Lonchura striata: one gene and its partners. The protein of the gene in region 1 interacts with the protein of each later gene in a pairwise test. Links are inferred from orthologs where the notes say so. Each region holds a gene or a part of one and is shown on either strand. Other genes may lie near its edges.

What was found.
Region 2: the proteins of RBBP8 (region 1) and LIMS1 interact in a two-hybrid assay, tested with the Homo sapiens proteins (2 studies listed by BioGRID and IntAct). The two-hybrid records come from large-scale screens. The link is inferred for Lonchura striata from reciprocal best matches to the Homo sapiens genes RBBP8 and LIMS1.
Region 3: the proteins of RBBP8 (region 1) and RBL1 interact in a two-hybrid assay, tested with the Homo sapiens proteins (2 studies listed by BioGRID and IntAct). The link is inferred for Lonchura striata from reciprocal best matches to the Homo sapiens genes RBBP8 and RBL1.
Region 4: the proteins of RBBP8 (region 1) and RBL2 interact in binary tests that used the Homo sapiens proteins (3 or more experiments, as listed by UniProt). The link is inferred for Lonchura striata from reciprocal best matches to the Homo sapiens genes RBBP8 and RBL2.

The regions. Positions count from the first base shown.
Region 1 is NC_134603.1:47,356,872-47,364,542, forward strand, and holds the start of RBBP8 (DNA endonuclease RBBP8), read right to left. Parts: upstream 3,328-7,671; 5' UTR 3,237-3,327; intron 335-3,236; 5' UTR 226-334; coding exon 114-225; intron 1-113. UniProt on the Homo sapiens protein: Endonuclease that cooperates with the MRE11-RAD50-NBN (MRN) complex in DNA-end resection, the first step of double-strand break (DSB) repair through the homologous recombination (HR) pathway.
Region 2 is NC_134604.1:90,285,492-90,293,704, forward strand, and holds the start of LIMS1 (LIM and senescent cell antigen-like-containing domain protein 1), read left to right. Parts: upstream 1-4,788; 5' UTR 4,789-5,079; coding exon 5,080-5,261; intron 5,262-7,439; coding exon 7,440-7,599; intron 7,600-8,213. UniProt on the Homo sapiens protein: Within the IPP (ILK-PINCH-PARVIN) complex, binds to F-actin, promoting F-actin bundling, a process required to generate force for actin cytoskeleton reorganization and subsequent dynamic cell adhesion events such as cell spreading and migration.
Region 3 is NC_134619.1:14,349,686-14,357,145, reverse strand, and holds the start of RBL1 (retinoblastoma-like protein 1), read left to right. Parts: upstream 1-4,067; 5' UTR 4,068-4,088; coding exon 4,089-4,220; intron 4,221-4,343; coding exon 4,344-4,477; intron 4,478-5,418; coding exon 5,419-5,619; intron 5,620-6,930; coding exon 6,931-6,995; intron 6,996-7,086; coding exon 7,087-7,215; intron 7,216-7,320; coding exon 7,321-7,460. UniProt on the Homo sapiens protein: Key regulator of entry into cell division. Directly involved in heterochromatin formation by maintaining overall chromatin structure and, in particular, that of constitutive heterochromatin by stabilizing histone methylation.
Region 4 is NC_134615.1:12,861,580-12,869,728, forward strand, and holds the start of RBL2 (retinoblastoma-like protein 2), read left to right. Parts: upstream 1-4,822; coding exon 4,823-5,017; intron 5,018-6,661; coding exon 6,662-6,792; intron 6,793-7,962; coding exon 7,963-8,149. UniProt on the Homo sapiens protein: Key regulator of entry into cell division. Directly involved in heterochromatin formation by maintaining overall chromatin structure and, in particular, that of constitutive heterochromatin by stabilizing histone methylation.

The DNA of each region.
Region 1 (7,671 bases):
GAAAACATTAAAAATCTATTTAGCTCCATGGAGAGTATTTTGGTTCAAAGTTTTCCTGTGGTAACTGACAAACACCAACTTTAGCCTGACAAACCCAACCTTCAGTGACTTACCTTGTACTTCTTTATCGTGACATTCTTTCAGTTTGGACCACAGTTCTTTGAAGAAATCTCCTGTAGGTTCTGCAGAACTAGGGCTCCCACAGCTTCCTCCAGATGCATTCATCTTGCTTTATTCTGCTCCCAGCTTCTTTAACTTACAGAACTGGCTCTCTCTCAAATTTTATATTTTAAATTACATAGTTATGAAACTGTTTCTGAAGAGGGGCGTATGTCTGTAACAACAGAATGATAACACATTTGAATTTATCAGAGCACCACTTGTAGCCATGGATGAAATACAAAGTTTACTGTCTATCCTTGTTGAGGATACATATTTATATACTTTCACACTGACAACCACCCTGAAAGCTTGGACACTGCTAAGTATTTTGCCGCAGATAATTACAAACTAACAGAATTTTCTTCCCCTTAAAAAGTTATCAACCTAAAATTAGATTAAACCACTTAAGAGTCTTTATTTTTTTCTTATATAAAGATAGAATTATACCGAATTCCTGTTTTCCAAAAGTAAGCCATAGTGCCAAAATCTGGCTGTCAGCAAAAGCATTTGTCAAAAGTTTTATCAGAGATGGATTTGTCTATATACATCGTTTACATAAATTTGGATTCAAATTCAAATTACATCCTTTTGCAAAGAAAAACTCACATCCCCTTGAAGTGTTCATAATTCTATATTAAAATTATTCCAATTCCCTGATGAAAAAAAAAATGGAGAGTAATCACAAAAATCTATAAATCTCCAAAACAATATTTGAGAAGAACAATCAAAGTCATATAGCTCTTAGAAGCGTGACTGCCTACAAAATTTAGGATAATCTTACCCATAATTCTCAGTTGTTTTGAAGGGTTTTTTACAGGGATGATGCCCTCAGGCCAACTACAGAGGAAGCACGGTACTCAGATCTGGTTCTGAGCCAAGGCAAGATTCAATTCTACTGACACTACTGGTGTCCAATACTCAATTCTACTGGACACTACTGGTGTCCAATATTGTAATACTTCTGTAATCTCTGTCCTTCAGTTCCCTCTGTGTGAAAATGGATATTCCTCATTTTTATGCAGTCAATTTTAAACAAACACTTCTGAACAGGGACTGTTCATTACCAGGTGGACATATCTATCTCTATGATATTGTAATATAAAATGCAGTAAGAAAAAAAAAAAAGCTAGGTATTTCATACTATTCCTAAATTAGCAACTTGAGCAAGCAAACCATCATGCCTATACTGCCAAATGGAAGGAACAATTTGCTCTAAAATTTTTGAGGTACAAGTTCAGATGATACATGGTCTGTGACTAGTCAAGAAGCTGCGTTTCCCATCTTGAAAGCCTTTAAACAACTTAAGAGTATCTAAATGCAGCTACTGGTTTAGCTGGTCTCCCAGATTCACCACAATAAATTGTTCAGTCCACTGGTCAGTGATCAAGTGTAGGGCCTGGAGGCTTCAGTTCCACTCTCCTGTCTCACTCCTCTGTGCACGCTTTTAAGTAACTTTTGTTCAGTCTGGCTGTCTTTACAATGGAACAAAACAATATTCTCAACAGAAACACTTGAACTGTATGTTTTCTATAGTATAAGGATATTTAAATCTTACAATAATGCAGCCAGCAGCTCCACATTTGCTTTAACCTGCTCTGTCCTTAGCAAATTCAGGATATGGCTTCATGTTAGCAAATGTTCAGAGAACTCCTTAGTAGAAAATAAAATTACCCTTTGAAATTAGCAATGCTTACACGTTTTCAACATAAGCTGGACAGTGATTTGCTTGCATCTTTGCAGCTGAAATGCTCCACTTTGTGTGCAGCCACATTAAACCATCTTACAACACTTCTTTGTGGAACCAACTGCCTAGTGACATTAGGAATGGCATTTAAACTCTTGCTTTGCACCTTCAACAGATGTTTCAGGATCAAGCTTTTTTTCTGTCAAGCACTAGGGCAGTGAAAACCACATGCTTGTTTCACTTACTGTTTGAGATTTAAGTATGTCAGATGACTCATTTCCATGAAAAAGTCACCTGAGTCTAGACAGTAAATGGTGTCTGTAGTGGTTTTTTTGGATTTTTTTCCCTAAGATGACTGCAATAAAAAAAATGCACAAAACCCGCTCAGAGTTTCTGCAAATTATTCGGACATCAACCGACTACAAATAGTAAAAAATGAGCAAAGCATTTTCCCAAGCTTCAAGATACCAAAATGATACATTGCTCCCTACAGGTGTTCAACATCTCTTAAAACACCGGGCTCGCAAGAAGCGCTCAAGTCGAGCCTTTGACAGGCCTGGGCAGCTGCACAAGTGTAAAAATGATGGCTTAGTCTCCAGCCCCAAGAAACTGCTTTCCAGTCCTTAGGGGAAAAAACAGCAGGGCTGGATGTACGGACACTTGCAGGCAGGGACAGAACTGGAAGCTGCTTGGGGTGGAAGCACAGCGCCAGCCCCTCTCCCGGATGTCCTGCTTTGCTGCTATCCTGCCGACTGCCGCTTTCACAGAACCACCTAAACGCGTCCATTTCCCTCTGCTTCCACAAATCAACTCCCGCCGGCACGGTCAGGCTTTCCAGGGCTTCATCAACGATTGCCTGCGGGAGTCCGTCAGCACGGATGAACGCGCCGAGGCTGCTTATCGGCGTTGATGCCTTTCGGCCGGGGACGCACCGCCCCTCCGGGACTCCGGGGAGCACACGGCGCCGTGGTCCCCACCGGCTGCTCCTACAAACGCAACTCTCCTGCACTTCCCGGCGGTGGGCTTCGTTCTCTTTCCCCTCTTGCACGAACACCGCACAGAAAACTCACTCGAGAGACACGCCGGGATGCTCTGGGAAATCCTGCCATGACCAACACCTGGGAGCTTCCCGCCAGGCTCGGGTCACACCCCGCAGCCGGGACGCCGGAGGAGCGGTATGGCATGTCCCACACGCCGCTTCTCCCGAGCGGCGGGAGCCTGCCAGACGGAGAGAACGGGGCTCCCTCGGGCAGGCGGGCAGCGCCTGAGGAGCCCCCGGCGGGGACCGGGGCCGGAGGGGCCGCGGCGGGGCCGTCCCGGGGCGGGGCGGGGCGGGGGCGGCGCTCGCGGTCTCTCCCCGGCGCGGGATGAGGAGAGCGCGCGCCGTTACCTGGTTGGCTCCCGCCGGCTCCTCGCGCCAGCGGCGGGAAAAAAGGAAAAGCCGCAGCGAGCGCCTGGCCTGCCCGGCGAGGCGGGGCCGCGGGCCGCTCTCGCGAGGCTTCCGCGCTGCTCTCGCGAGAGAGGGGAGCGTGAGGGTCCGAGCCCCCGCGCCGGGCGGTCGCGGGGGGTTCGGGTGCGGGGGTGACAGTCACAGCGTCACGGGACTCGCTGGGTGGAACACAACAGTGGCCATCGAGTCCAGCCTAAGTGCTACGTCCAGTCTTTCCTTAGCACCGCCAGCGAGGGTGACTCTACCACCTCCCTGGGCACTCCATTCCAATGTCTACTCACCCTTTCTGTGAAGAAACTTCCTAACGTCCAACCTAAACCGCCTCTGGAGCAACCTGAGGCCGCTTCTTTTTGTCCTGTCACTTGTTGCCTGGGCGAAAAGGCTGACCCCCACTTGGCTGCACGCTCCTCCCTGATGGTTGTAGAGAGCGGTAAAGTCTCTGAGCCTCCCGGGCTGCACGGCCCCAGCTCCCTCTGAGCCTCCCGAGGGCTGCACGGCCCCAGCTCCCTCCTCTGAGCCTCCCGAGGGCTGCACGGCCCCAGCTCCCTCCTCTGAGCCTCCCGAGGGCTGCACGGCCCCAGCATCCTCCTCTGAGCCTCCCGAGGGCTGCACGGCCCCAGCTCCCTCCTCTGAGCCTCCCGAGGGCTGCACGGCCCCAGCTCCCTCCTCTGAGCCTCCCGAGGGCTGCACGGCCCCAGCGTCCTCCTCTGAGCCTCCCGAGGGCTGCACGGCCCCAGCGTCCTCCTCTGAGCCTCCCGAGGGCTGCACGGCCCCAGCTCCCTCCTCTGAGCCTCCCGAGGGCTGCACGGCCCCAGCTCCCTCGGCAGTTCCTCATGGGACCTGTTCTCCAGATCCTTTCCAGCTTTGCTGCCCTTCTCTGGACACACTCCAGCGCCTCAGTGTCCTTCCTGAATTGAGGGGCCCAAGCCTGACAGCCTCACCAGTGCCAGGTACAGGATTCTGCTGGCCACACTTTCTCTGACACAGGCCAGGATGCCATCAGCCTTCTTGGCCACCTAACGGCACTGCTGGCTCATGTTTGTTCATCGATGTCACCAGGTGTTGTCTCAGTCCTCTTCTCTGGCCCATTAATTGGGGCTACCACAGAGAGCTGCCAGAAGAAAGCCAAGGGGACAAGCCAGGCCACAGCTGGTGCCACAGTTCAGTGTCACAGCAGGCACAGAATACTCTGGAAAAGCAAGGGGGTGTGCGGGAGCCTGCATTGAAACAAATGCTGCCTCAGCCTTCCTGAAAGAAACTCTTGCTGGTTTAGATGTCAAGAGGATCACCAGGGTGTACAACTGTTCCAGAAGTGGCCTTGCCTTTGAGGCTGTGCTGTTAAATCTATCTGTGCCCCAGGATTTGTAATCTGCTTGCTGGGGCTTACACACAGAAGTATGGGGGGGAGGGGGGGGCTTCCCCCCACTCTCTCGACCTTAACAGTTTCTATGACTTGTCATTTTACTGTACCACAGAGCAGCCTAGGCATATTTTTGTGTTAGGTAAGTATGCAAACCAGTAGGCACATATAATTAGTACAATATAAGGCTGTTGAACTTTTTTGTTACTTCTCAATGTTATTTTTTTCCCCTATTTGGGACCAGCCCTACTGTCTGCAATGAGATAAACCCCTTGATTTTAGGTAGTTCTTAGTGATGAAATAGAAACAAAACACAGTTTTTCACTATTACTAGTCTGCCTTAAATGATTTCACTGGACCATTTTGGTATGTATAGGAATTCTTGCAGAGACATCTTGGTGGCATGACTAGAAGACATAATAGTAATCAGTTTGGAAGGGACAGTGCTGCAAACATATACTTTCTAGATCGTTAATAGAAATATTTAAAAAGTTAAGTGTTCAGGTATTTCATAATTGTTAGTAGCTGTTCCATCTAATTATTTTTACATTACTCAGATCACTCAGGTCTCAAGAAAACATCATAAATAAGGAGCTGCAGCATAAATAAAACTGGATCTGAAATACTATTTCAACATTTTTGAGGTATTTTGAAGTACTGTCAGAAAGGAGATGACACATGATTCAAGCTTCAAATCTATTGTTCCCCATTGTTGAGAATATTGTTGATTTCCCATCAAGTACATACCATGAATTCTGAAGTATTTTGAAAAAATCTTGTTCTTTTCTGCTCATTCCTCATCATTGTTAACCACTTGGTTTTTGACTTAAATAAAATGAATGTGTTGTTCAGGAGCTCAGCAGCAGATTACTTATTGTAAGATCAAATTGTAAGTTTAATCCATTATCAAATTAGTAGACATATGGTGGAACTAAAATTACCTACGTGTTTTGGAAGAAGCTGTCATGCCATAATAGGCTGTGATAGACACTCCAGTCTTTCTAAATAATGCTTGTTGGCAGCTTTTCATTCAACTTTTGAAACTTCTGTAACCTAAAAGTTTGTGATGTAGGCAAGCAATCATTTCCTCATGTTAAGAGAAGCAGATGTCTTAAATCTACACACAGATCTGATAAGTAACAATGAAATAGTCCTCTGGCTGATTGATCAGATATTTTACCATAAACTGTACCTTTCTTACTATTTATAGGAAGCACTCTGGCAAATAATTATGTCATCCATTTTATTTCCCAATAAACTCTGAGCTGTTTGTTTTCATACTCTCTCATGTTGATCTTTACAGCAATATAAATCCTCTGTCTTCTACAGTGCTATCCTTATCTACTCCACAGTAAGTGAAAAGGGATTAACATTAACGGTTGAACTTTTATTTTATCTCTCTTCCACATTTATTTGATTTTATGTACTCTGTAATCACATAGTTGACCACTGAATAGATTCCTGGGTCATTGAATGTGCTAGAAAACTACTGGAGAGTCTGATATTCCACATTCCCACACTGAGTGTCTTAAGATGACTAGTCTGACTGGAACTGCATCTCATTCACCTCGTAAGAGTAAACACACACACCTAGACAATAAAACTGTGGGAAAAATGCTTCACTGTTGCTGCGCTTGAACAGATATGAAACTTCCTGTGGTGTCATGGCTCGTGTCCAGATTTCAGAATAACCCATACTGTGGCCCATTGAACTAGGTGACAGAACACTTATCCATGAGCAATTCTGCAAAAAGGGAATCTTATTTTGTCCTAGTCCATTTTAGACCTGGATGGTATCAACAATTTAATCCTATGATAGTAGGTGGCACTATCAATTTTCAGTTAGTTTCAGTTATGTTTCAATTGCCAATAAGGACATCAAAGGAGCCCAACTTCAGATGCAGCAAATATGAGTATATGGCACAGTTGAGCTGCTACCTAAATGAGATTTAACTGGAAGTGTAGGAACTGGAAGTGCTCTGAGTAGCATGATTTCGTACAGCTGGGAGGGCACATAGACAACAGACACCACCACTGCTGTCTGGCACAGGTGGTTGCCTTCTCTGGAAAAATAGGGAGGAGCCACTCCATCACCCCACTAGTTGAATTTGATTCTTCTCAAGGGCTTGTATAGCCATGTTTGAAACTGAGCCAAGATCAAATTCCCCAATGCCAGTAATGCTGTTCATTTTAAGGAGCCCTCTTCTTTGAAGTGCTTTCACTGCCCCTCATCTATAGTTAGAAACTGCCAGGGCTTTTTCAACTCAAACTCTCAGGTCTCTTAGGAAGACTTGATGGATGGGTTAAAAACAAAAAGGCAACATGAGGGATGCTGTTGCAGGACCCCAGTGCAGTGTTCCTGGTCTTCAGGCTCTAAGCAGCAGCACCTATTTGTGTTAGCTGCATGCTAACACAATGTTTTGCTCATACTGATGTTTCTCAAGGTAACATGACCAGTTTGAGTAGTTACACGTATTTATCTCAGCTTTGGAAGGCTGAAGTAAAAGTTAACAGATCCGTGTAAAAAATCATGCCACCTACCTTTTACTGTAGTGAACAACATGAATTCAGGGACAGAAAAGAAGCAACATATAGGAATTAATACTTACCATTTGAGGAAAAGAATCCCCAAACAATAGCCCCTGTGCATCCAGCCCCCTAAAAAAAAAAAGGCAGCTGAGGAAAACCCAAATAAAACTGAACACATAAACTGGAGTGGGGATGGCAAGCAGCATTTTGAAAAAGTGGTTTATTTAGTTTGAATTTTAAATCTATTTAATATGTTCTGTGTTAAAATCCTATAGCTTTAGAAATCAACACTATCTTGTAGCATTTTAGGGGCTCTACACAGAGTTTTTGTGCAAACTATACAGTTCAGCCAGCTGTAATTTTATTTGGAGAATGGTTTATCCCTTAGTAAGTTTCATTACATATTTGATAGCAGAATCAACCAAGAATATAAGAAAATTGAACATTTTTTCCTGATGAATATTATCAGCCTCTGTGAGACTACCA
Region 2 (8,213 bases), on another chromosome or scaffold:
GTAACAACCTCTTAATATCAAGTCTAACTAATAACCCATTACTGCCAGGTCTACCTCTAAACTATGTCCCCAAGTGCCACATCTACATGTCTTTTAAATAGTTTCAGGGTTGTTGACTCTGCTCCACTTCTCTGGGCAGTCTGTTCCAAATGCTTGACGCCCCTTTGCATGAAACAAAAAAAAATAATGTCCAATCTGAACTTCCCTTGAAGCAACTTGAGGTTGTTTCTTCTTGTCCTGTCACTTTTTCAGAGCTTGGTGGACTTGATTTTCTCTTTTCAGGCTTGAAAAGATGGTTCTTTTCACAGCGACTGTCTCAGGAACATTTGATGTGCAGCCCCTAGAATTAAGTGGCTGACCTTTTTTATTATTCTTAAATTAGAAATGAGGATGTAAGTGTTATATGAAATGCATCAGTGCAAATGTATCCTTAAAATTTATAGAGTTGGAGGAATTTGGATACCATAATGAAATAGACTTGCAGTTGACTACTCAGGTGCAGATTTCAAGAATAGCCAATAATGTGCTGTGTCACATGCAACACAAAATTATTGGAGTTCATGAGCTTCTCATATATGGTACTGTTTGTTTTATTTTTCCTGTCTGCACAGGATTGAAGGAAACAGTAGTGTGGGAGGACGAGATGAATGTTTTAAAGAGTATCAAATATCTGTACACAGAAGTTATTACTTGGTTTATGCTTCATTTGGTAATAGATGTAACCAGCAGGAAGAAAACACAATACTTTGCTGAAATATTACTTACAACAGGAAAATGCTGTAGTTGCATATTGCTCTTCCTTTATATAAATTCTGTCAGAGACTGATATTTCACTGTGCCTGAATGACTGATAAACATTGTGTGGGAAGCTGCTGCTTACCTGTCTATTCCAGTTATATTTACTTCCTTATGGAGAGATGGAATGTGAACCTTCTCTGTTTATGGAGACCAAAGCATTTTTTGGACATGTTTATACTAGAATAAATTTATACTGGAGGATATGAAACAACTAGAATTGCCTTTTTGTTTGCCCTGTTTAAACTCCCACCACATAAGCTTAATTATGTATTTTGAGGTGAAGACTAAAGAATGAAACTTTCAGGAACACTCAGAATTCACATGATTTTTACTGCAGTGTTTTCAAGATGGTTTTCCATAATTTTTAATAGAAGAAGTAGTTGGAGCAGTGCTGAGCACATGTGAAAATCCAACCTGTAAAAATGTGCATTTTAATTATATAAAATATTAATTACTTTTTTCAAACTGCCTTAGGAGACCAGAAAGTATTTTATTGCTTAAGAGATAAACAATTGCAGCAACCAGAACCCAAGAGTGTTTTTAATTTCAATAAGAAACCCTCACAAAAGGTCAACTAGTGCTTTGAAATGTTGGTGCAGAAATCAGAGCAGGGCACTGCAAGCCCACGCGTCTTTTGCAGCCAAACTTCTTTTCTAGGTTGTTCTGTATTTTGCGTGTGAGAGTCACTGCACAGCATCTGTTACTGCATCATTGGAATGAACCCACTCGTGCCTGCGGGGGAGGAGGTGGGATGCACTGTGCTTGTTCATCCCCCGCCTGTCCCCGCGGGTGTTTCCTCCCGCAGCTGTATGTCCCGGTGGCACAAACAGGTTGCCAGGCAGCAGCTGCCTTTGCCAAGCACCTTGTTTGGAGCCGTGGCTGCTCCGCACACGGCTATTTGTGGCACGGAGTGAAATGCTCAGCGGGCTTGGCTGGCCACCGAGCCGTCACTGTAAGAGTCCCTGTCTGCCCCTGGCAGCCGCCGGCATGGGCAGCCAGGCTGGAAAGCTGTGCAGCGAAAGCAGCGTGGAGTGAGGCGGCAGTCATCCTTCAGCAGGGATTAGGCAGTGCGCCTATTTTTGCTATTGTTTACCAAAGCCCTTCTGGTAACCGCAGTGGAACACTTCTCCCTCCCTCTTCTACCATTTCCTTCAGCACCTTCCCTACCATCAGTTTTGGCTTCTGATAAGATCTTCAGTGTGCCAAGAGGAGATTGTCTTTTTCTTTCATACCTGTCTTTTCTAGTTAAACGCCCAACTTCTTCTCCCTAGCACTGCATCTTTAACAATAGGCTGCTTGCTGTGTTTTGTCCCATATCCCAGGGAATGCCCTTGGGAAGCTGCTGCTGCAAAACAACCCCTTACATACTTCTCACTCTCCATGGACAGCTTCACCTCAGAGTAACCTAGAATTCCCTCATGAAAATGAAGTGTATTTTTAACAATGTATTTCAGATCTGGGCAGCATGCCTCCTATAAAATGTCAGAAAAGAGAAGGATGGCCAGCTGCTCTGGATTATCAGACCTTCACAGTAGAAGCTGTGTTTTGCTTCAGTAGCATAAAGGCCCTTTTAAAACTCTTGTTAAGCTCCTTCTTGTTTATTAGAAAAAATTTGGAGTCATTCCTCCAGCAGCAATGGTAATATGACTGGAGAACCAGACAACTTCTACTTACTGCACATATGGAGTCCTGTTACTTTGAAGGACTTGCTCCTGACAAAAACTAGGAAGATAAAACCAGGCTTTTTGGATGGACATCTTACTGCACTAACTTGCTGTACTACTTGCTTTGCTACAGCCATGCAGAAGACTGCACAGTAGCAAGGTGAAGGAGCAATCAAATGTTTTCTTGTTGACCAAAGAGAATATGAGGCAGCAGAAGTTGTTTCCAACCACATTGGTCACCTGTGGATTTCAGATTACTGCAAAACTGTAGTAGTCCACCAGGAAAAAGTCTCTATGGGGCACTTTTGATTTACAGCAGCATCTTCCCAGGAGAATTGTCTGTGATCTGGGACAAAATACAGGAAAAGAGTTGGGAAATTGTTGAGAAGATAGTGATAAGAGGAAGAGGTAGGCTCACTTGCTGTTTATTATCTTAGTGGCTTCATTTATCTTTACTAATCCTGAATAAATCAGCATTTTTAGTCCACTGTAGTCAGTCTCACTGAAGTTTTTTATGCCCACAGAAGCTCAGCACTGACCTGTGCAAAAAGTGTTGGGAAGCAAGATGAAGAAGAACTGGCATCACTATACCTGCATGTCTGTTGGCAGTCTGCACATTTTCATCACTCATGCTTCAGAGAATGCAGAAACCTTTTCTTCCAGGACTGCAGTGGTGCTCTGGCAAGATCTTTTTGGCCTTGGGCTAGAACCTGAGCATTGCTTCATCTGCAGTGTGCCCTATGACAGATAAAAATAGGACTTGAGCTGCAGCCAGGCTGTGTCAGTGGTGAGGGTGCAGCTTCCTTAGCCTGTTAGAGCTTGACTTCTGGTAGCTCTGGCATAGGGTGAATAATCACACCTACAGACAGGCAGATCAGCAGGGTCATGCTGCCTGGGTCCCACCTACGCAAGGAAATAGCTTGCCTAGGGGGTTGTTGCTCCTTGTTGAGGGGAAGTGAAGGGAAGACACTGACCAAACCCATTCCACAAATTTGTCAGCAGAAGCAGCAGCGTGGGACTGTGTTGGCTGAGCTGTAGGAAGGTGGCTGCATGCAAGCTCAGGCCTGCATGGAGAGTGGCGTGTGGGCTGCTGTACGCTTGCTGAGCAAGCTGTCTTAGGTGGTGGTGAGAGATATGGCCAAAAAACATCACCAACCAGACCCTCTGTGGTAGGTCCTAGGGAAGGTGCAGGTATATTAAGAAATTGTAGCCTTGACTGGACATTCTGTCATATCCTGTGACAGTATAAGCGGAAATGGCCTCAGGTTGTACCAGGGAAGGTTTAGATTGGAGATCAGGACAGATTTCTTCATGGAAATGTTGTCAAACACTGGAACAGACTGCCCAGGGAAGTATTAGCATCACCATCACTGGTAGTATTTAAAAGATGTGTAGATGTGGCACCTGGGGACATGATTTAGTGGTGAATGTAGCAGTATTAGTTTAATGGTTATACTCAGTGGTCTTGAGGTCTTTTCCAATCTAAATTATTCTATTACTCTCTGATCTTAGTTCTAGTTTCTCTATTTGTTCCTGGTACTCATCTCCTTCTTGTCATCCTCTGCTTCCTCATGCCCCCTCACAGACTAGCAGATTCTTCAGCTGCCAGTGTGCTGTGTGTCATGAGCACAAAGTGCATGCAGTTCTGCAGTTCAACTGGTTGCTAACAAGGCTGAGACAGTTCAACACAAAAGTTAGTTACTCAGGGGGGCTTCCCAAAAGCCTTCCTTTTCTGCAGTTATAAAGTGCTGGAAGCCCACAGGCACTGTGCCACAAACACTGCGCTTCAAAGAGGGAGAGCTTGTAAGAGTCTAATTATTAGCTGTAAATCTTACTTTAGTTAGTGTTCTTACATTGGATAGTTGTTCTAAATGCAGCACATCACTGGAAATAAAGCTTTGGTTTTCCTCCTTCATGTATTGTCCATTATGGCATGCCTGTCAGTTTTGTTAATGGCCTGAGAAACAGAACAGAAATCAAACAATCTGCTTGTACCTTCCCCTTGTCTGAAGTACTGAGAAGAGGAAAGACATACATAGATAAATTCAACACATATGACTTAAAAGACACAAGTGGAGCATTAAATGTCATTTTTACAATGTAATTAACACACTATAGCATTAAAGCAATATTTACCTGGAGACAGGAGTCTTCTGATCCTGCTTTCCACTGTTGGTTTGCCCATGATAAAATATTGTTGGACTCTGCCTTCACGCCCCCACAGCATAAAGAAGCTGCAGCCAAGTTTGGTGATAAACTTATTTGCACATAGGTTACTCACACCACAGCTCTCCTGGGCAGCTTCTGTCAGCAGCCAGCAGCGAAGACCCTTTCCAGCATCCGAGTTTACATGAGGGCCTGGTGAGGGGAGTGTTCTCTGTGCACAGCCAGCCTGCGTAAATCTCAGCGTGACAGGCTCCCAGCCCTGCTGCTGAACTTTTAACTTGAAGCTCTAGCAGGGTGCTGAGTAGCTCCAGCTACATGACAGGAGCTGTGAAAGTAAATCACTTCGCTGGGAACAAGGGGAAGTCCAGCATATTGTTTTGCGGACTTTGCCTACAGTTTGTTTGCAGTCTAAGCATAGAATATATACACCTGGGAAAGCAATCAGAGCGAGATGGACTTCCAACGCAGAGCTCAGCCCTTCCCCATCCCAGAGGATGAAGAGGTTGCCTACAAGGTCACTCCTGATGCTCACAACTCCGCAGGAAATGAAGGCGAGAAACCGGTGTCAAAATTGCAACGTAGGCACAGTGAAATAAAACTCTACAAAGAGTTTTGTGATTTTTATGCAAGATTGTAAGTTTGTTCTGTTCAGCTTCGGGGTGTAACTGCAGTGACATTACTGGTGTATTGTACATAATATATTTTATTATCTGGGGCTCAGGCTGTGCAAGCTGTTCTCTCATTCAACCTTTGCCACTGTTCTGCTTGAAACATTGCCAGTTGTAACAACTAAAATTTGAATTGTTGCTTTAAATTTCATCATGAATTGCATCAGGAATTTTTATCAGCAGTAAAAATGGTGTTGGAATTTTTAAAGTAGTCTCTCTGCCTTCAGGTTGTTTGCCAGTTATTCTGGGCAAATGGATAAACCGCTTCATTAATGCAGAAGTATTACATACTTCACTAGTTTTACATATGTGATGTGTTTCAAAGTTAAGCACTTTTTCCTGAAGAGGGAAACTGTTTTTACTTGGTTTTGAACTTTGTTTCATGTTTTTGCTTGGATTGTACTTTACGTACATCAGTGCTTAGAATCCTTAATGCTCAAGCACTGTTGAAGTGATGATGAAAGATCCCAGTTTCTCTTGTGATTATTCTTCATTTAGATTGATAAGGAAGATGGGAAAATTGACTGAGGTTTTGCCCCACAGAAAGCATACACAGTCAATGAAGACCATTGATGACCTTTACAGTTGATCACAGTTTATATGTATAGTCACTGCAGTTTGTCCATAGGTCTGTCTGTTATTAGGGGTTAGACCATCCTGTGTCTGATCTTCATGTGAAATTTGCCCACTCATTTCACTGTGAGGACAGTGGATATTTGGATTGCAGTTACCGTTTTCCTCATCTGCAAAGATCAAGTGAGAGAGAAAAAAAAGTGCTAGCTAATAATAACATGTCAAATGTGACCTTGTGTAGGGCTCTTCTGTGAGACAGTGTAAGAAATAGATAAAACACATTCCATTTTGAACCACGTGCTAGGTGTTTGCTTGCTCCCTTGGATAGTGTGCAAGGAATGAATTCAATTCCTATTGAACATGGTGGGAGCCCAAAGGTCTTATCCCCTTGAAGAGATAAGAAGGAAGGCTTGGCATCTTACAGAGGACTGTGGGCTCTGCACTTACAGGCACAGCATGATAACTTATCAAAATGCGTGCCTGCATGCATATGTGTTTCAAATAATGTCACTTGTCTAATAACCTTCCAGATAAATATTGAGTCATTAGTTTTCTCAGCTGACATCCCATTTTAATGAAACTAGACCATTGCCCTATATTTACTTTCTGTTACCACATGGTATTAAGGATGATCCTGAAAGGCAGAGTTTTGAGAGCCTAGATATGAGTGATGGAATGTTTGCAAAGGGAAAACCAAAAGAGCCTTTTGCTGGCTTTAATTAACTGAAAATCAGCTATACTGTCTTCTGCAGATGTGGACAGCTACCACACTGCCTTTTTTTTGGTCCTGTGCCTTTGAGAAGCAACCAAGGTTGCTGTTTCAATATTTCTTTGCATCCCTGGCATGGGTCGCAGTGGGGCAGCCAGAGCATTCCCACCCTCTCCTCCCCCCTAGCCTTGGAGTGGGCTATGAGCTGGCACATGATCAGCCGAGCTCCCTGAGATAAACCCTAACAAAGCAATCAAAAATCCCATGATTTCAAACTAAATTTGTAAAATGACTTCAAGCTATGCAGAGCTCATATAAAGGATAATTATTTAACTACTCTGTTTTTCATTAATATCTGCCAGACTAGATCCTGCACACTCTTTCACATTGTTTATTTAGAGCTCTGAACCAATGCCATTATATATGTATAGTTTAGAAGTTATATATGTATGTATTAGAATTGGTTTACAATAAATAATTTATGTTTTACTGTGTGATGCCAGTCCTTAATCATTAATATTTGCCCTTGTTTTCAGTCATTTTAATGTATATCATAATTCTTATAGTACTTTGAATTGCCTTTTTTCATCATAGAAAGCCTGTAAATGTGTCTGAAGAGACAAGGTTTCTGTTTGGGGTTTTCAATTAATTAGAGCATATCACAGGGATTTTGTTTCTATCTAAAGAGTTAGGGAGCAGGGAGATGCCGCAAGCTATGAAGTTCATGGAAAAACTTGTGCTGAGCAGCTTATCATTAGGTTGGTGCAGTTTGGCCTGGTAGAGCAGGGGAAAGACTGATGACCAGTGTTGTTGTCTACTTAGGCTAATTTTCTTTCTTTTTTTTTTTTTTTTGAATGACAGCAACATGGCGAACGCGCTTGCAAACGCCATCTGTGAGCGCTGCAGGGGGGGCTTTGCCCCTGCCGAGAAAATTGTGAACAGCAATGGTGAGCTGTACCACGAGCAGTGCTTCGTCTGCGCCCAGTGCTTTCAGCAGTTCCCCGAAGGGCTCTTCTATGAGGTAAGTGGGGCAGAGACCCCTGCTGTCCCCATACCCCCTCTTGAGCCTTCATTCCCATAGCAGAAGTAGCTACAGGCAGGTGGATAGCTTAGAAAGTCCCATGAGAGTATCTGGGCTCTAACAGAGTATGCCCAGTAAAGGGAGAAAAAAACCAGAAGCATTTCTGTGCTAATTTGGAGGACATCCATGTATATAACATTCTTTAAGTGTGGACCTTAATATTACCAGCACTGAGAGAAAAAATCCTGGAGATTCTTTTCTCAGTGCAAATTTTCTCCCTGAAACTTGTGAATCTGATGTATCATACCAGAAATATATAAGAAACATACTTCTTAGAGGAGAAAGTCATATAGAAGGAAATCTCAGCATCCTGTGGTCCACAGGAGGTTTATCACTGAGTTGAGTGAGTCCAGTTTGGCGTTGGAAAAGAGATGTTCTGTATGTGAGCATGCAGTGATCCAAACCAGACAGAGCCAGTATAAGATAAACTCTTAAGTTTAACAGTCTAGAGCATTCGAAATTATCAGTTCTTAACACACTTTCAGGGGTTAAGACCTGATCACATTCATATTTCTCAGCTCCAGGTTGATTTGCCTCAGATTAGGAGGGTATTT
Region 3 (7,460 bases), on another chromosome or scaffold:
TTTGTGACCCTTTTGCAACCCGATATACTCTGTGGATTATTTAGACTGTAAGGCGTTAAGTGGCTGCTTCTTCTTTTCCATCATATCCCAAACAAATGCCAAATTTTGACTGGTTTTCATGGCTATTCACACACATACATCCTTCACAAAATGTGCTAACAAAATAAACTGTCTGTGCTCTTGAACATGGATAAAAAGAAAAATATTTAAAAGTCAGATTTTTATTTTTTTAATTCAGTGACTAGAGGATGCTTATCTTTCAGACTTGGGAGAGCCTTGCTACAGATGTATATAATTTTTTTCAGCAAATATATGTGAATGTTTAATTCACCTGACTCAGTGATAAACGTGACTTGCCTTTTTCTCAGCATGATCCCATTGAGAAGCTGTTGAAAGCAGCTGCCTGGTCACTGCTCTAGGCTGCTCCTGGTGCCCTGTGTGTTACTCTGCTGCTGGCTGCGAGGGGGCGAAGCTGCAGCTCCCACTGCGCCCTGGGTGAACTCGCCAGCCTGAGGGAACTCATGTTCCACGTGGGTTGCAAGATGCCAGGAGCAGCCCAAGCTCCAGGGACAGTTTAAGCACAGAGGATGTACCAGGGCTCTCTGCTGACATGCTTTTTCCGCAAGGGTGGGCAAAAGTCCAGAGGCCTCCACAGTTGTCTCACACACCCCCACCCTCCAAGCAGTTACACCCCTTGGCATGTGCACAGCCCCTCACAGCAGGTGGGGTACTGGGGGTGCTGGGCTCCTCTCCCTGTGCTTCCTGTACCTCCAAGTTCTGTGAAATGCTTGTCCTAAATCTCTGTGTAAGGATCTCAGGCTTTAGCAAAGCAGACATTCGTCAGTGTTTCGTCAGAATGATATGTAGGACCAGCTCTATTCTTCCAAGATCCAGGAAAAAAGACACAGAGTAAAAGCAGTGCTTTTACTGCTCCACCTGCTCTGTGTAAGCACCTTGTCCTGGTATTTTGTTGCTCCTTTGGGGAGGAAGAATAGAAAAGTACCCCACAGAAAAGACTGGCAAAATGGTATCATGAGCTATGAATTTCCAGTTCCAGAATCTCTCTTTAAAATCTGGCTCCACACACTGCATCCTTGTGCTCGGCATCCATAATGCAGGATATTTGCTGGCAGAGGCTACAGCAGGAGGGCCCTGGAGGAGCATGTGCTGGCTTTGAGCTGTCACATCAGTGGTGGCTGGTCTCTGTCTCTTCAGACAAGGTGTGCTTCCTGCTTGCAGCACTGAGTGGATGTGGTGGAGGATGGGCACTGTGGGCACAGCTTGCTCCCTATTGTGTTTTACAGGATACAAGTGCCGCTTCCTGGAGAGAGTAAAACAGGCACAGCTGCACATCCCTGCTGTCCTTGCCTGGTTTTTATCTGACAGAAGTCTCATCACACATTTAGACAGGATCTCTAATTCCCTTTATAGTCACAAAAAAGGGGGGAAGAATTTTCCTCAGTACTGAGCCATGGTTGGAGGAACTTTACCTACCCTGGGTGCAGATGTACCCACTCTGGGCTCTTGACAGTTACAAGAAAGGATTTGGGGTTGGAAATCTTGGTCAGCAGTGAGCAGAAGGCAATTTCTCTAATGACATCTGGTTTGCATTTAAATTTGAGCTTTTCAGTGCAGTTTTGTTCCTCACCTCTTCAAGGAGCTACTTCAGCCCCAGAGCTCTGGAGCACAGGCTGAGTCACGAGATCAAATGTGAGGAATCTCCTCACATTTTACAACCTCAAAGAAGTTTCCAGGGACTAGGCTACAGGTGAAGCCCCCAGATGCTTCACGCCCCGTGTGGCAGTGCCCAGCTGCCCATAGCACCCATGCTCGGCCATGGGCACCAGACAGCAGGCAGTGCTGCCAGGAAAGAGTGCTGCCAGTGCTGCAGAGCAGCATCTCTGGGAAAGCAGAGGGAGGAGAAATCCAGCTTCTCTCTCAATCCCCTTCCCGTCAATCTGCACAGTGTGCCTTGTACGTTTGGACAGCAGGCCTAGGAACATCATCCTCACTCTCCCACATGGCTTTTGGGGATGCTCGTTGTTTCATGGTGCTCCCAGGGGTGCCTGGAGGCCTTTGGTGCAGTGCCATAGGTGGCACTAATTTCTGAAGAATCAAGATTTCACCTCAAGAGGTATAAAACAATGCAAGATCTTCAGCCCAAGCAGAAGATGTCTCATTCCCCAAGTGGCCTTGTTCTCCCTCCAGTGGGATTTTTATTAATGAACAACTCCATACAGCACGACTACCTGGCTCCATTTGCCAGTGGTCTGGATGAGATGTGACATTACTGGTTTAACTTGGAACTCAGTCCCAGCCTGCCTGAATACATCGGTTCAGGCAAGCCCAGCATTAGCCTTCAGGTTTCAAGAAATACTGTCCTGAACCTGTTGCAGGAGCAACTGGGAGGAGTGAGAGCCATGGCAGATGCTCCAGCCTCTCCTCTCTTTGGGCTCCTGCCAAGCCTTGGTTGTCAAGTTTCTCAGCTGGCTGTGCTATAGCACAGGGAGACATTGTACAGGAATTGCCTGTATTCTTTGGAAAAACAAAACTTTAAGAGAAAACCTCACAGTGTCTTTTTTCCCCTTCAGAAAAGGACAGAGATTTCTGATAGAGGAAAAGATGCACAAAAACCAGAGCTTGGCTCACCTAGAGGAAGACACATCTCTGGTCCAGAAGGAATAAACAAACCTGTGGGACCCAAAGTCTCAATACCACAAATGAAACAGATTTCCTGTCTGCTTATGACAAGCAGTTTTCCATGCTCTTATGGCCAGTATTTTCCAGATAGATTTGTATGTTGGATTAAGGCTGGGTTTTATGGAATGTTGGATTAAGGCTGGTTTTTATGTTTTGGAAAGCACAAAACTGATTAGATTCTCTGTGAGGAACCAGCCTCACCAGCCCGCGGATCCCACGAACTGATCCCTGCACTTTGCAGAAGAGCATTTTCAAGAACCAACCCCAGGATCTCTGAGTGGGGTCGGAGGTCGGGGCAGGGCAGGGGCTGCCGAGTGAGCGGGTGCGGCGGGGCCGGATCCTGAACATCCTCTGAGCATCCTCGCATCGCCGCAGGTACCGGGGCGGGGGATCCGCCGCACCCGCTCCGGGCGTGCTCCGCGTGTTCTCCGTCCCACGCCTTCCCAGCAGAAGGGAGGTGGTTCAGGTATCCTCCAGTGACAGGCGGGTTCAGAGCCCTGTTCCCTATCGAACCAGCGCTGCGGACGCTGCGTGACTCTTCCAGAGCCCCTTCCAGAGGTGCGGGAGCCGCTTTCCTGCCCACGAGGGCGGGCGGTGTCTCCATGGCCACGGCTTCCGATAGACACGAGCGCTCCCAAGGGGGCTCCGTCCGTCGGCGCCGGTTCCAGTGGAACAGGGACCTGGAAACGCTCTGAGCGCCCGCTGCGACCGGGATCGGGCCGGGGCCGCGCCACGGGTGCCGGGGAGCGCGGCCGCGGCACACGCGTGGAGCGGCTCCCCGGCGCTGCGGGGCGCGGAGGCCGCCGAGAAGATGCCGCAGCCACGCGTGTGCCAGGGCGCTGGGGCCCGAGGAAAAGCCGCTCCTGCCGCGGCCTCCCGGAGCCCTGCGCGGGAACGGGCCGCGAGCACCCGCCAGCACCGAGCGTCCGCCTGCAGACGGTGACACCGGGTGACCCCGGGTGACAGACACCGGGTGACACCGGGTGACACCGGGCGACAGACACCGGGCGACAGACACCGGGTGACAGACACCGGGTGACCCCGGGCGACAGACACCGGGTGACAGACACCGGGTGACAGACACCGGGCGACAGACACCGGGTAACACCGGGTGACACCGGGCGACAGACACCGGGCGACAGACACCGGGTAACAGACACCGGGTGACACCGGGTAACAGACACCGGGTGACAGACACCGGGTGACACCGGGCGACAGACACCGGGTGACAGACACCGGGCGACAGACACCGGGTGACAGACACCGGGTGACAGACACCGGGTGACCCCGGCCGGCCGCGACCGCCGCCCCCGCCGGTGCCCGCGGCCCCGCCCCCGCGGCGGAAGCGGCCCCGCCCTTCCGGCGGTTTTGGCGCGCGCTCCGCCGCCATGTCCCGCCCGGCGGCCGCCGATCCCGGCGCTGCCGTGGAGCGGCTCTGCCGGGAGCTCAACCTGGACGCGGCGAGCGCGGCCGAGGCGCTGCGCGACTTCACGGCGCTGCGGGGCACCTACAGCCTGGAGGTGAGCGGGGCCGGGTGGGGCCGGCCGGGCGGACGCGGTCCCGCTCCGGCCGAGCCTGAGGGGCGCGGCGCTGCCCCGGTGACCGCGGCGCTGCCCCGGTGACCGCGGCGCCCGTGCCCGCAGGGCGAAGCGCTGCACTGGTTGGCCTGCGCGCTGTACGTCGCCTGCCGGCGGAGCCGCGTGCCCACGGTGGGGAGCAGCCCGATGGAGGGGAACGGCGTCTCCCTGACCCGCATCCTGCGCTCCGCACGCCTCAGGTGAGCGCCCCGCCTGCCGGGCCGGGCCCGGCTGGGGCCGAGCACTCGGCGCCGGGAGTGCCCTGCCCTGCCCTGCCCTGCCCTGCCAGAGCCGCTAGTCCGGGAGCCTCGCCTGCGCTCCCAGCGCTGCCAGCCACGGCGAGGTTAAAGCAGTAAGTCCGCTTTTGTTACAGATGGAAATTAGATTGAAATGCGTAATTTCCAACTTCAAGCCTTTAGGAAACCACCTATGTCGAACCAGCAGCCGTTCTACACACGCCAGTTGTTTCTCTCCGTAGTTAATTTTACCACAAACATTTAGGCGCGTGCCATCCCGGTACAACGTGTGCCTGACTCAGGATTCAGGCCAAATCTCGATGGAGTGCTGGCAGACGCTGGTTTTTCTGGGAACACAGCACAGGTGATCACAGAACTCACCTTCCGCACGGCCCCAGCAGCAGCTGCCCTGTCACTGGCGTTCTGAACTGGGCACATGGAGCCCGGAATGTTGCTCATTCCATTTAAAGACCCCACTCTCTGCTGAGCTGCTGGAGGAGTTGTCAGTTATTTACATCCCCAGCTGTCAGGTTTTTGTGCAGGTAACTTTGACGGGCATTGACTCTTGGCTTGTTCTGTTCCCTCTCCTACCTCTGCCTCAACACTCACAGAGCTGTGCCTGCATTTTGCTGTTCACCACTGCCCTGCTCCACACAGCCACGCTGACAGCCTCCACATCGAGTTAACGTTCCCGTGCGTTAAAGAAGGTCAAGGAGAAACCCCAGAGTGATAAAAGGCAAAAAGCTGATAACACGCAGTTTGGAAGTCTTATCAAAATAAATTGTAAACCTACATAGTAATTATGTCAGTTTTTAAAGGAGCAAATATGTTGCACTTTGATTTTTTAAAATTTTAGAATGGAAGTTAGTTAAAGCTGAAAACAGACTTTTCTTCTTTCTTTTAAGTTTAATTCAGTTTTTTAGCAAAATGAAGAAGTGGATGGACATGTCAAACCTGCCCCAGGAATTCCGAGAGCGAGTTGAGAGGCTGGAGAGAAATTTTGAAGTGTCAACTGTGATTTTCAAAAAGTTTGAACCAATATTTTTTGATATATTTCAAAACCCTTATGAAGAAAGTTCCAAACCACATCGAAGCAGGAAGCAGAGGTATTTTTTAGATTTGATGTGATTTTTCCCTGGAAAGAGTTATACCCAATATAAGTTTACGAAAATTAATTTCCAGAGTGATGGGGTCTCTTTGACTTTGAAATGCAGCCAGCGCAGAACCACCCCTGAGCCCGGTGGGTGCAGCTCAGGTCAGCTGCATATGCAGCTGCTGTAACACAGGAGCTGTCCCACAGTGAGAGTGTCAGGGTGTGGTGGGGAGAGGTACCCTGAGGTAGGTTAGCTCCAAGGTGCAGTGAGATCAACACTTCAAACATTTAGCAGCAATAGCTGAAGTAGCACAGCAGTGTTCTGTCTTGGCACAGTGCTGGCAGGAGGTTGGTGTGACACCATGATCCGTCTGCTCGAGGGCTGTCACATTCTGTGACCTCCATGCTGCCAGGTGTTTGCCGTGGTTGCCAGATGAGTGGAAACACCAAATGGGGGGAAGTTACAGCTGATGTGCTCATTTCTTTGAGAAATTTGGGAACATGTGGTGTCATCTTCAATGCACACATGGAATGTCTGCCTTACGGAAAGGAGCTTGTCCATACTCCCTGCAAGAATATCTGGCTGGGACAGCTTTGTAGTGAGATTATAACCTTCGTGATGAGGGAGCCAAGCTGTGGATCTGCAAGGTGTTTTTATCAGTTCATGTGGGTTCTCTGGATGTGAGGGGGGATCATTGTTCTGGTGCAGTGCTCCAGTGTAGCTCCACATCCACAGGCAGAGTGCAGGGGGAGGTGCTCTGATGGCTGCTTTGTTGGTGTTCCTTTCTCAGAGCAGTGTTGGTTGGTGCCACCACAGCTTTGGCTGCTCTGTGGGTTGAGTCATGTCTTCCTTGGTCTTCCAGCTCCATGGGCTTGGATAGTTCTGCTCCAAACAGGAGTCAGCAGCTGAGTTGTAGTACAAGCTACAATTGCCTGTTCCAAAGGAATGGCTAATGGAAAAGCCATCACTGGAAAATACATATAGCCTTTGTCACCTCCCCACCCATAGGAGGGTTCTGTGGGAGGTACAACACCAGCAGAATAGTGTGGCAGGGTCAGAAGCCAGAAGCAGCCTTTGGCTTGGGAACAGGGTTAAGAAGTTGTGGGTGTGTGCAGGACACTCTGTGGAGCAAGGTCAGGCATTGTCAGGCAGTGAGAACTGAACTTGGGACATGTAGCTTAGACTATGCCTTAGTGTGGAATTGTGACAGCAGCTCCAGCTGTTGTTTTAAGCAGGGAAATGGAATGAAATTTGAACTGTAGAACAAGGTTTGGCTTCCTGGAACTGAAGAGTAACTTCTCCCCCTATTTCTCTTGTTGACAGACGGGTGCCGTGCAGCGTCAAAGATCTCTTCAACTTCTGCTGGACTCTCTTTGTGTACACTAAGGGTAAGCTGCTTGCTTTGCCTGCATGGTTTGTACACGTTCCCAGCTGTGACCTTCTGTTGTGTTGCTTGACATGATGTACTGTCTCTTAAAGGTAATTTCCGTATGATTGGAGATGATTTAGTAAATTCGTATCATTTACTTCTGTGCTGCTTGGACCTGATTTTTGCCAATGCCCTTCTGTGTCCAAACAGAAGAGATTTGCTAAATCCGTCATTTAAAGGTAGGGTGGGGATAGATTATTTACAATCAACTGTGCTTTGTTCTCTTGGCTCATTTGAAATGAAGTTGAAGGTTGGTTGTCTTCCCCCTTCCTCCTGGTTCCCAGGCTTACCAGTGGAATTCCACACTCTGGAGATCAAAGCCTCCGAGGATCCTCCCTGCATCATTGCCATGCTCTGCGAGCTGCATGACGGGCTCCTTGTGGAAGCGAAAGGCATAAAGGAGCACTACTTCAAACCATACATT
Region 4 (8,149 bases), on another chromosome or scaffold:
TTCACATTTACAGAACTTCTGAACTGACTGAGACTTCAGGTGACCTTGGTTACACCATTTGTGGTCCAAGAATAGGCAAGTGTTAAGAGAAAATAGATACAGGTACTAGTGAAAGTCATGGAAAAAGCTTTACAAAGGGATAAATTTAAAAATAAAAAACAAAAACTGTATATTTTGATATAGTTCTGTTGCTTGCTTGTACAGTAAAACAACTGTGTTGTTTTTTATCAAGAACTTTACCAATGAAATATAAGTTTCTATGTGCAAAATAACTAGCCCCATGATTAGAAGCAGTATTAGATGTAATTACACAACTATACAAGTACCATTTGGATTGTGCTGGTTACGTATTTTCCCAGATAGTATTCTGATTTTTGGCCCTTCATGCAGTGTCTTAGCAATAGTGAAAATCAAAAACTGCCAAGAGAAGGGGGTAGCCAATTCTTCATCATTAAAAGGAAAAGTATTTCATATTTAATATCTTGCCCTTTGTGTAATATAGCACTTTTATTTAACTAGGATGCATCTATGAAATAGCCAAAGTTTTACAAGCAGTTATTAACTTCATTTGCTGATGGAGTATGTCGACAACACCATCACTTCCCACCCTTCCCCCACAAAACAAGTCCTAAATCTTGTGGCTAAAACCTAATTTATATCAGATTTATGAAATAAAGTATTTTCCTATTATGGTCAAGTAAGTTTGGTTACTGTTCTAGTGATTCTTTCTATGTAATAAGGCAATTACAGTTTCAAGTAATGAAAGCTGGTGTAGACTTGAACATAATTATATTTGGGTTATTTTTCATCAGTTTGATCCAGAGGGGGGAAAAAAGTGTCCCACTATCAGCTAAACTATATGCAAATACGGTTGTATAAAGTTAAGGGTTATAAGGAAACCTCAGTAGAATTACACTAATACTGGAGTTAAAATTAAAAGGATATCCAAGGTGATGATAAAGTGTGTGTTGGTAGTTACTAAAAAAACCTTAGCTGTTATTGCCTTGTATTTCTATCCCTTGTTTCAGGCTTCATGATCCAAGTCTTAGTCCAGGTTTTTTTTGGACATTTGCAATATTTGCCAGTTGTGTTCTGTGTAGTCTGAATTTGCTTTCTGTAGTTGAACAAGCGTCTTAAAAAGTCATTTGTAATTTATTGAATTACTTTCTATGATGTTCTATAGAGCAAATGGAAGTTTAATTATTTTTTATTAAACATATTCTTTGACTACCCGTGATGTCAGCCTCCGTATGTGAAAGTAATGCTGTGAAAGGATTAAACATGGATCTTCCAGCAGCAAAACTCAAGTTTCAGTGCTAAGTTTTAAAACTGAAATTATTCTTAAGACCTTAAAAAAAACCCTGCAAACAAGCCAAGGACATAACACACCTACTGCCCAAGACCATGGTTTACTCTTGTATATTTTTCCTGGGAATCAATTGCCCCTAATTTTCTTATCTTACAATCAAACCAGCTGTTACTCCCACTCTTCAGTACTTATGGTTAGAAAAGAATGTTCAGTCTAGGTTCTGGTCCAAAAGTTACCTTAATTTTAAATAAGCATGTTGGCAGTGAAGTAAGTACCTTTTCAGTCTTTTTTTTTCAGAAAAAAACTTTGCATTACTTTCCACATTTTCATTAAAGCTTTTAATTATGTACACAGCACTTAACTATTGCATGTATTTCACACAGGGCACAGACATTGCTCCTGAACCCAAGGTGTCTCCTGCCACCTGGCATTGCATTAGAATGATTCAATCGTATCCTTATTTATTTCAGTCTGAATTTTATCTTCATATCCTGATCATCTTTTTCGAGCTTCTGCAGATGTGTACACAGGTGTTAGAAGTTGACATATACATGAGCTCCGTTCTCAACTTCTCTTTTTTCCATGGAAGTCATGCAAAATCTCCAATAGTATTTTTTAAAATTAGTTTTAGAATCCAGTCCTCTTGGTCTGTAAATTAAAATATAAAGATCTGTTTTTCAATGGAAATATGGAAATATGTTTTCAATTGAAGTATTCCCAAGATGCTCTAGGCACTATAGTAGTGGTTAGTTTCTGGCACTCCTTTGAAATTTTTCCAAGCAGTATGTGGGGTATGATTAGATAAGACTCTTAACAAGGTGTCCAGGGAAAAGTCCTGTCCTGTATGTTTTATTCTGTGTCCAACAAAATTATTTGTGCCATGTTATCTAGTAATAAATTTTTCATGGATTGCTCAGTGTGACCATTCATTAAAATGAAGGTTTGAGGAAGGTCTAATGCAAGTTGTAGCAAGATGAAATGTGCCTGGTGTTCAGGGTTAATATAAAGGGGGCTGCACAATAGTGTTACATTAACTTATTTGTGATTTGCAAGTTACTAACAGTTTTATAGGCAGTTTCTGATTTAGTTTTATTACACATAGAATTACCTTCCACATGAGCAAGGCTGTTTCAGTGCAATGTGGGATTTACACTGCTGTAGTTGACCAACATTTAAAATTTTATATCTCTGTGTTGTTGGGACCTTGGGCTGGTGGTGTTGTCTGTAGAGCAGACTAATTGTACTGTGTAGCCACAGTTTACAAAATAACTGTCCTGGCTTATCTGAATGTCCCTAATGTTACACAAACAGGCAGTATAATTTCTTTGTTAACATTTAGAGGAAAAGGAAATAAAGATAACAGCTTTCCAAGTTCTTTTTATGATGTTTTTTTATTGAATGCTGCCTCCTTTCAGGTTCTTTCATGCAAGGAAGGAAGGAAGGTGTAGTGCCCAAGATCCTTCATGAAGTTAAACTGGAAAATGAGGACTTGTTTGCTCTGCCTCCTGTGTGTTTCCAGTATGAAGGAGACCTGACAGTGCACTGGTGTTCCAGGTAAGGTCTCCTGAATTAAAGGAAGGCTGGTTTGGGAAATTCTTGGGATCCTAATAACAAATACAGTGTCATCATCTAGAGAGATGAGAGCATTTTCCTTAGTGTTCACCAAAACTGGTAACAGTCCTCACACTGTTTTCTGCTCTCAGACGACAAAAGCATTTGATTTGGGGACTACCATGTCAGGTCCTGTCCTTGACAGTGTTTGAGCTGCGTGCAGCAGCTCAAAGCAGGGAGCAAGACATGTTCATGGGGAAGATTTCTGAGTCTACAGCACAGTAAAAAATGTATGCTGCCAAGGGGTAGCCAAGCAGCTGTGACGGACTCGCGCTGAGAGGGTGTTTGTGGCTGTTACTTGTCATACTGGTAGGTCTAACATCTAGCAATAGTCAAAATCATTAAAATAATTAACATGCCATATGAGGGTAACTTTATTATTCATGCATCCTTTTAATGGGGGAGGAGCGGGAGGGAAAGAAGGGAGAAGTGGAGAAATAAGTGATGCTAAGTCCTCAGGGATAAAAAAGTATGTTTCTTGTCTGAGTTTTCAGTACACCATTAAATAAAAACTTCAAAAAAAAAAGTTTTCTACACAAGAGCAGTCAAACCATTTATTTATGAAGTCTGAATGCATGAAACCATAGGGAAGTACACAGGTGTAATCACTGCATAATAAACTTCACTTTGATCCTTTAACCTTTTAACTCTTTAGGTATTTCAATATTGTGAGGGTTTGTTCCTCCTTTTTTTATATGAAGGATTTTTAAAGAGTAGATGAATTATTTCTCAGTAGAAATTAAATGCTGTAATAAGTTATTGTTGCTTTGTATTTTAGTAGATACTGTAAATATAGCTAAACAGAAAAGCCTTACATAATTTATATAGTCTTATGGGTGGCAGAGAGCTTCCCATCAATGCTGTGCATAACTCAGAGCAGGAACTTGGCCTGATGGCAAAGTTCATAGCTCCTCTGTGTTAAAACAAAAAGTAAGATGAAATACAATCTAATCACTCCTTTTTAAAGTTGTAAGTTGTTCTGGTAGTCTAGGGGCTGCAGGTTTGGGGGGAACCCTGCTGGCATCACCATCTTCCAGTGCCAGCTTGGGCTTTCTGCAGTTCTCATTGCTGGGTACCAGTGTGTATTTGTGTCCTGAATCACATCTCAGGTCAGTCAAATATTCTTAACATTTCTTTTTTTTTTTTTTTTCCCTGAAGCTTTCAACGTTCGTGAAATACCAGTAATACAAAATCAAGCCAACAGTCAATAAATGTCTTTTAATCAAGTGCAGCCTGTTTTACTGGTCACTTCATTGACACGTACCTGCTTTAGGAGTTTAACCTTACTTTTGGCAGCCTCCTTTCTGCTCGGCTGGCACCTGACCAGGGGAGCTATTTCTGTCTTTCCTCCCCCTCACTGCCTGTGTACAGCCTGTACCTCGCTCTGTGTGAGCGTACAGCCTGTACCGTGTTCGTATTTGTGTGTGTATTGTGTACAGCCCGTACCCCGCACTCTGTGTACGTATTTGTGTATATATTTGTGTACAGCCCGTACCCCGCACTCTGTGTACATATTTGTGTGTCTGTCTGTGTGCAGCCCGTACCCCGCACTGTGTGCACATATTCGTGTATATTCGTGCGTGTGTTTGTGTCTATTCGTGTACAGCCGCAGCCGGCCCGGCCGCTCTCCGCCCGTTCCGGGCTCCCCTCACGGCCCCGGCCCCGCCCCGCCCGGGGCTCGCGCGCCGGGCGCGCTCCCGATCCGCGCCGCGCGCGCGTCTCGCGGTGCGTGCTAGGAGCGCGCGCCGTGCGCCTGCGCGCGGGCGGGGCGGGCTGTTGCCCCGCGGGCCAATGAGCGGGCGCGGCGCGCGGCGGGGGCGGGGCCCGTCCCCCGGTGTTTGGATTCGAACGCGCGGGGCGGCGGCGCAGGCGCGGAGCTGCCCCCCAGCGGCGGGGCGCGGCATGGCGGGCGAGGAGGCGGCCGGGGCCGAGCCGGGTCCCGCGGGGGCCGCGGCCGCCGCCCCGTCCCCGCCGGGCGAGGACGGCGAGACCCGGCAGCGCTACGAGGAGCTCTGCAGGAACCTCAACATGGACGAGCGCGCCCGCGCCGAGGCCTGGCTGAGCTACCAGAGCATGAGGCGCAACTACACCCTGGAGGTGAGGGAGGGGTGGCGGGGCCGGGGGGAGCGCGGCGGGACGCGCGGGGGAGGTGCGGAGGGGAGGGACGGCGGCGGGGGCGCGGCGGCCTCTCCCTCGCACCGCCCGGGCGGCCGGGAGTGACCATCGCCACTGGGAGTCATAGCGGCGGAAAGGTGTTAAAAATGGAAGAGCCCCCGCCACTGCGGTCCCTCGGCTCTCCGCAGCTCGGCCGGGCAGCGGCGCGGCGGCCTCGGCCGGCGCGGGGCCCGCGGGGATGCCAGCGCAGGTGCGATCACATTTGTCACTTATTTCTGGGGGCTTGCGCGGCCGCGGCACGGCCCGGGCCGGGCGGGTGGAGGGTGGAAGGTGAAGGGTTGGTCGCGTCGTTCTGGAAAACAGGAACACGCGGTGACGCGCCCGGGAGCTTTTATCGGTGCCTTCCCACAGCAAAGGTGGCGCCTGTGATAACCGCGCTGCCCCGCGCTGCCCCCGCGCTTCCCCCGCGCTTCCCCCGCGCTGCCCCGCGCTGCCCCCGCGCTTCCCCGCGCTGCCCCCGCGCTTCCCCGCGCTGCCCCGCGCTGGCCCGCGCTGCCCCCGCGCTGCCCCGCGCTTCCCCCGCGCTTCCCCCGCGCTGCCCCGCGCTGCCCCGCGCTGCCCCCGCGCTTCCCCGCGCTGTCCCGCGCTGTCCCGCGCTTTCCCCGCGCTTCCCCCGCGCTTCCCCCGCGCTTCCCCCGCGCTGCCCCGCGCTTCCCCCGCGCTTCCCCCGCGCTTCCCCCGCGCTTCCCCCGCGCTGCCCCCGCGCTGCCCCGCGCTGTCCCCGCGCTGCTCCGCGCTGCCCCGCGCTGCCCCGCGCTGCCCCCGCGCTGCCCCCGCGGCTCTCGGGCAGAGCTCCGCGCCGGGCTCGGGGCTGCGGGAGGAGGAGCGGCTCCGGCCGCGCCGCTGTCCCGTCGCGGGCGGGCGGCGGTGCTCGGGATCGAGCCTTGCCTCGCACACCCCCAGGTGGGCGCTCAGCCGGGCCCCTGGCACCGCGGAGCCCGACAGAACCAACAACCGCAGCATCGAATTCCGTTTGGCCCCTTCTTTCTTCCCGTTCCTTTTTCCACTGAGGTGTTACTCATTGCTCAAAGACGAAGAATAAAATTTCAAGTGCTCATTAGAAATAACTTCTTTCTTTGGGTACCGGATTGAATAATTGTTCTGCTGTTTAATACAGAGCGAAATGGAAGCAATGTTTTTCTTTTCCTGCTGTCTCTTCAGGGCAGAAGGATGTTTTGGTTGCAAGAACTATAGTAGTTTCTCTTTTTCTCTTTTTTTTTTTTTTTTCTTTTTCTTTTAAATCCAAGCAGTACAAAATGCTGTAGATGAACACTAAAAATATATTTTCATATACTGAAAATATATTGGATATTTTGAGTCAAATGTAAATGTTATAATGGCAACTAGTAGTTTTGATGCAGTTCAGTGTTCAGTGTCTATTTAGCACCTGTTTTGTTGCAGTTAAAAACCCAAAGCGCAACAGAAGTTTGAAACAGCAAATCTACTTTCTCACTGGTTGAACTTCATCTGTTTGGGACAGTGCTTTTCCCTGCTGCTGGGGTAGCTGAAAAAGCATGTTTTTGTTTTCAGTGCAGTTTTTTAGATGCCTGATGTTTTGATTCACAGGGAAATGACATGCATTGGCTGGCTTGTGCCTTGTATGTGGCTTGCAGGAAAGCAATTCCAACTGTGAGCAGGGGAACAGCGGAAGGAAATTATGTGTCCTTAACCAGAATCCTGCGCTGTTCAGACCAAAGGTAACTTTTATTCTTGCTGATTTTTAGACACTTAAAAAATCACAAAGAGTGCTTATCACCTTGTGAAATTGGAAATCGAGAATAAAAGCTAAATGTGTTTCTTGTTTCCTGTTTTTGAAGTCTGTGTAGAGTCTATATCCCCAGAATGTTTGTGTTATAGCCCACTGCCAAAGAAGTAGGGCAGTACTATGTTCATGAAAACGCTGGTTTTCAAAATGAGAGATTTACTTCCTTCACTCAAAGGAGCAAGAAGCCAGACACTGAAAAACCATGAATTTTGGGAGTGTGCAAATTGTGAACTTTTCACATGAGAAACCATTTGTAGTTCATTGTGAAAATGTTCACAAGCTTTATCTCTGTTTTTGCATAAGACTTCACTTTTCACATGGTTTTGGTAAAATCATTAAATGAGGTCAGAATCTGACAAACAATTTTGTGTCAGATGCTTATGTCTATAAAGTAATAAATAAAAGCTTCTGAAATAATTGACTTTATTAGAAATCTCGTTGTTTTCTAAAAATTCCATAGATTCTCACAAAAAAAAGAATGTTCTTACGTACTTCTTAGCCGGTTTCCTCTACTGTTGAAGCATTGCTGTTGATTAAACAATGCAAAAGCTTTCCTCTATAAGCTTTTATTTTCCAAATCAGAAATTCAGGGAACTGAATGTTGATAAATTGGTTCCGTGATCTGGACTATCAAGACTAATAACACTGATAAAGAAGATGAAGATAAAGAAGCTGTAAAGGAATTAAAGCCAAATTTGCAAAGTGCAATTTTCTAAAACTTAAGAGGTTTCTCATACTTTGTAGAATATTCTTAGCATTGTAGATCTCATAGGTTGATTTATTTAAATTAATAAATTATTCAGAAAAACAAGGCAAATCTGATTTCAAATTAATCTAACTGTTGGAATTGATTTTGGCTTTGTGAGAAGATGCCAGACCTGTGAGTACATAGTTAATGGGGTTATCAGCCAAGGATCTAAAAATATTTCACGAGCTGTCTGAGCTCATCCATGTTTATGGGTGAAGGACTGGCTCCGAGTTCATTGTCATGTTTGCAGAGCCACCATTTCATCAGTAGTTCGGGCAGTAAAAATTGCACTTTTGTTGAAAATGTAGGGTTTAATTCTGCATGAAAAACTAATGGCCCATTCGGTATTTGCAGCTTGATTGAGTTTTTTAACAAGATGAAGAAGTGGGAAGACATGGCAAATCTACCATCCCAGTTCAGAGAGCGAACTGAGAGATTAGAGAGGAACTTCACTGTTTCTGCAGTCATTTTTAAGAAGTATGAGCCCATTTTCCAGGACATTTTCAGGTATCCTCAAGAAGATCAACCTCGTCAACAGAGA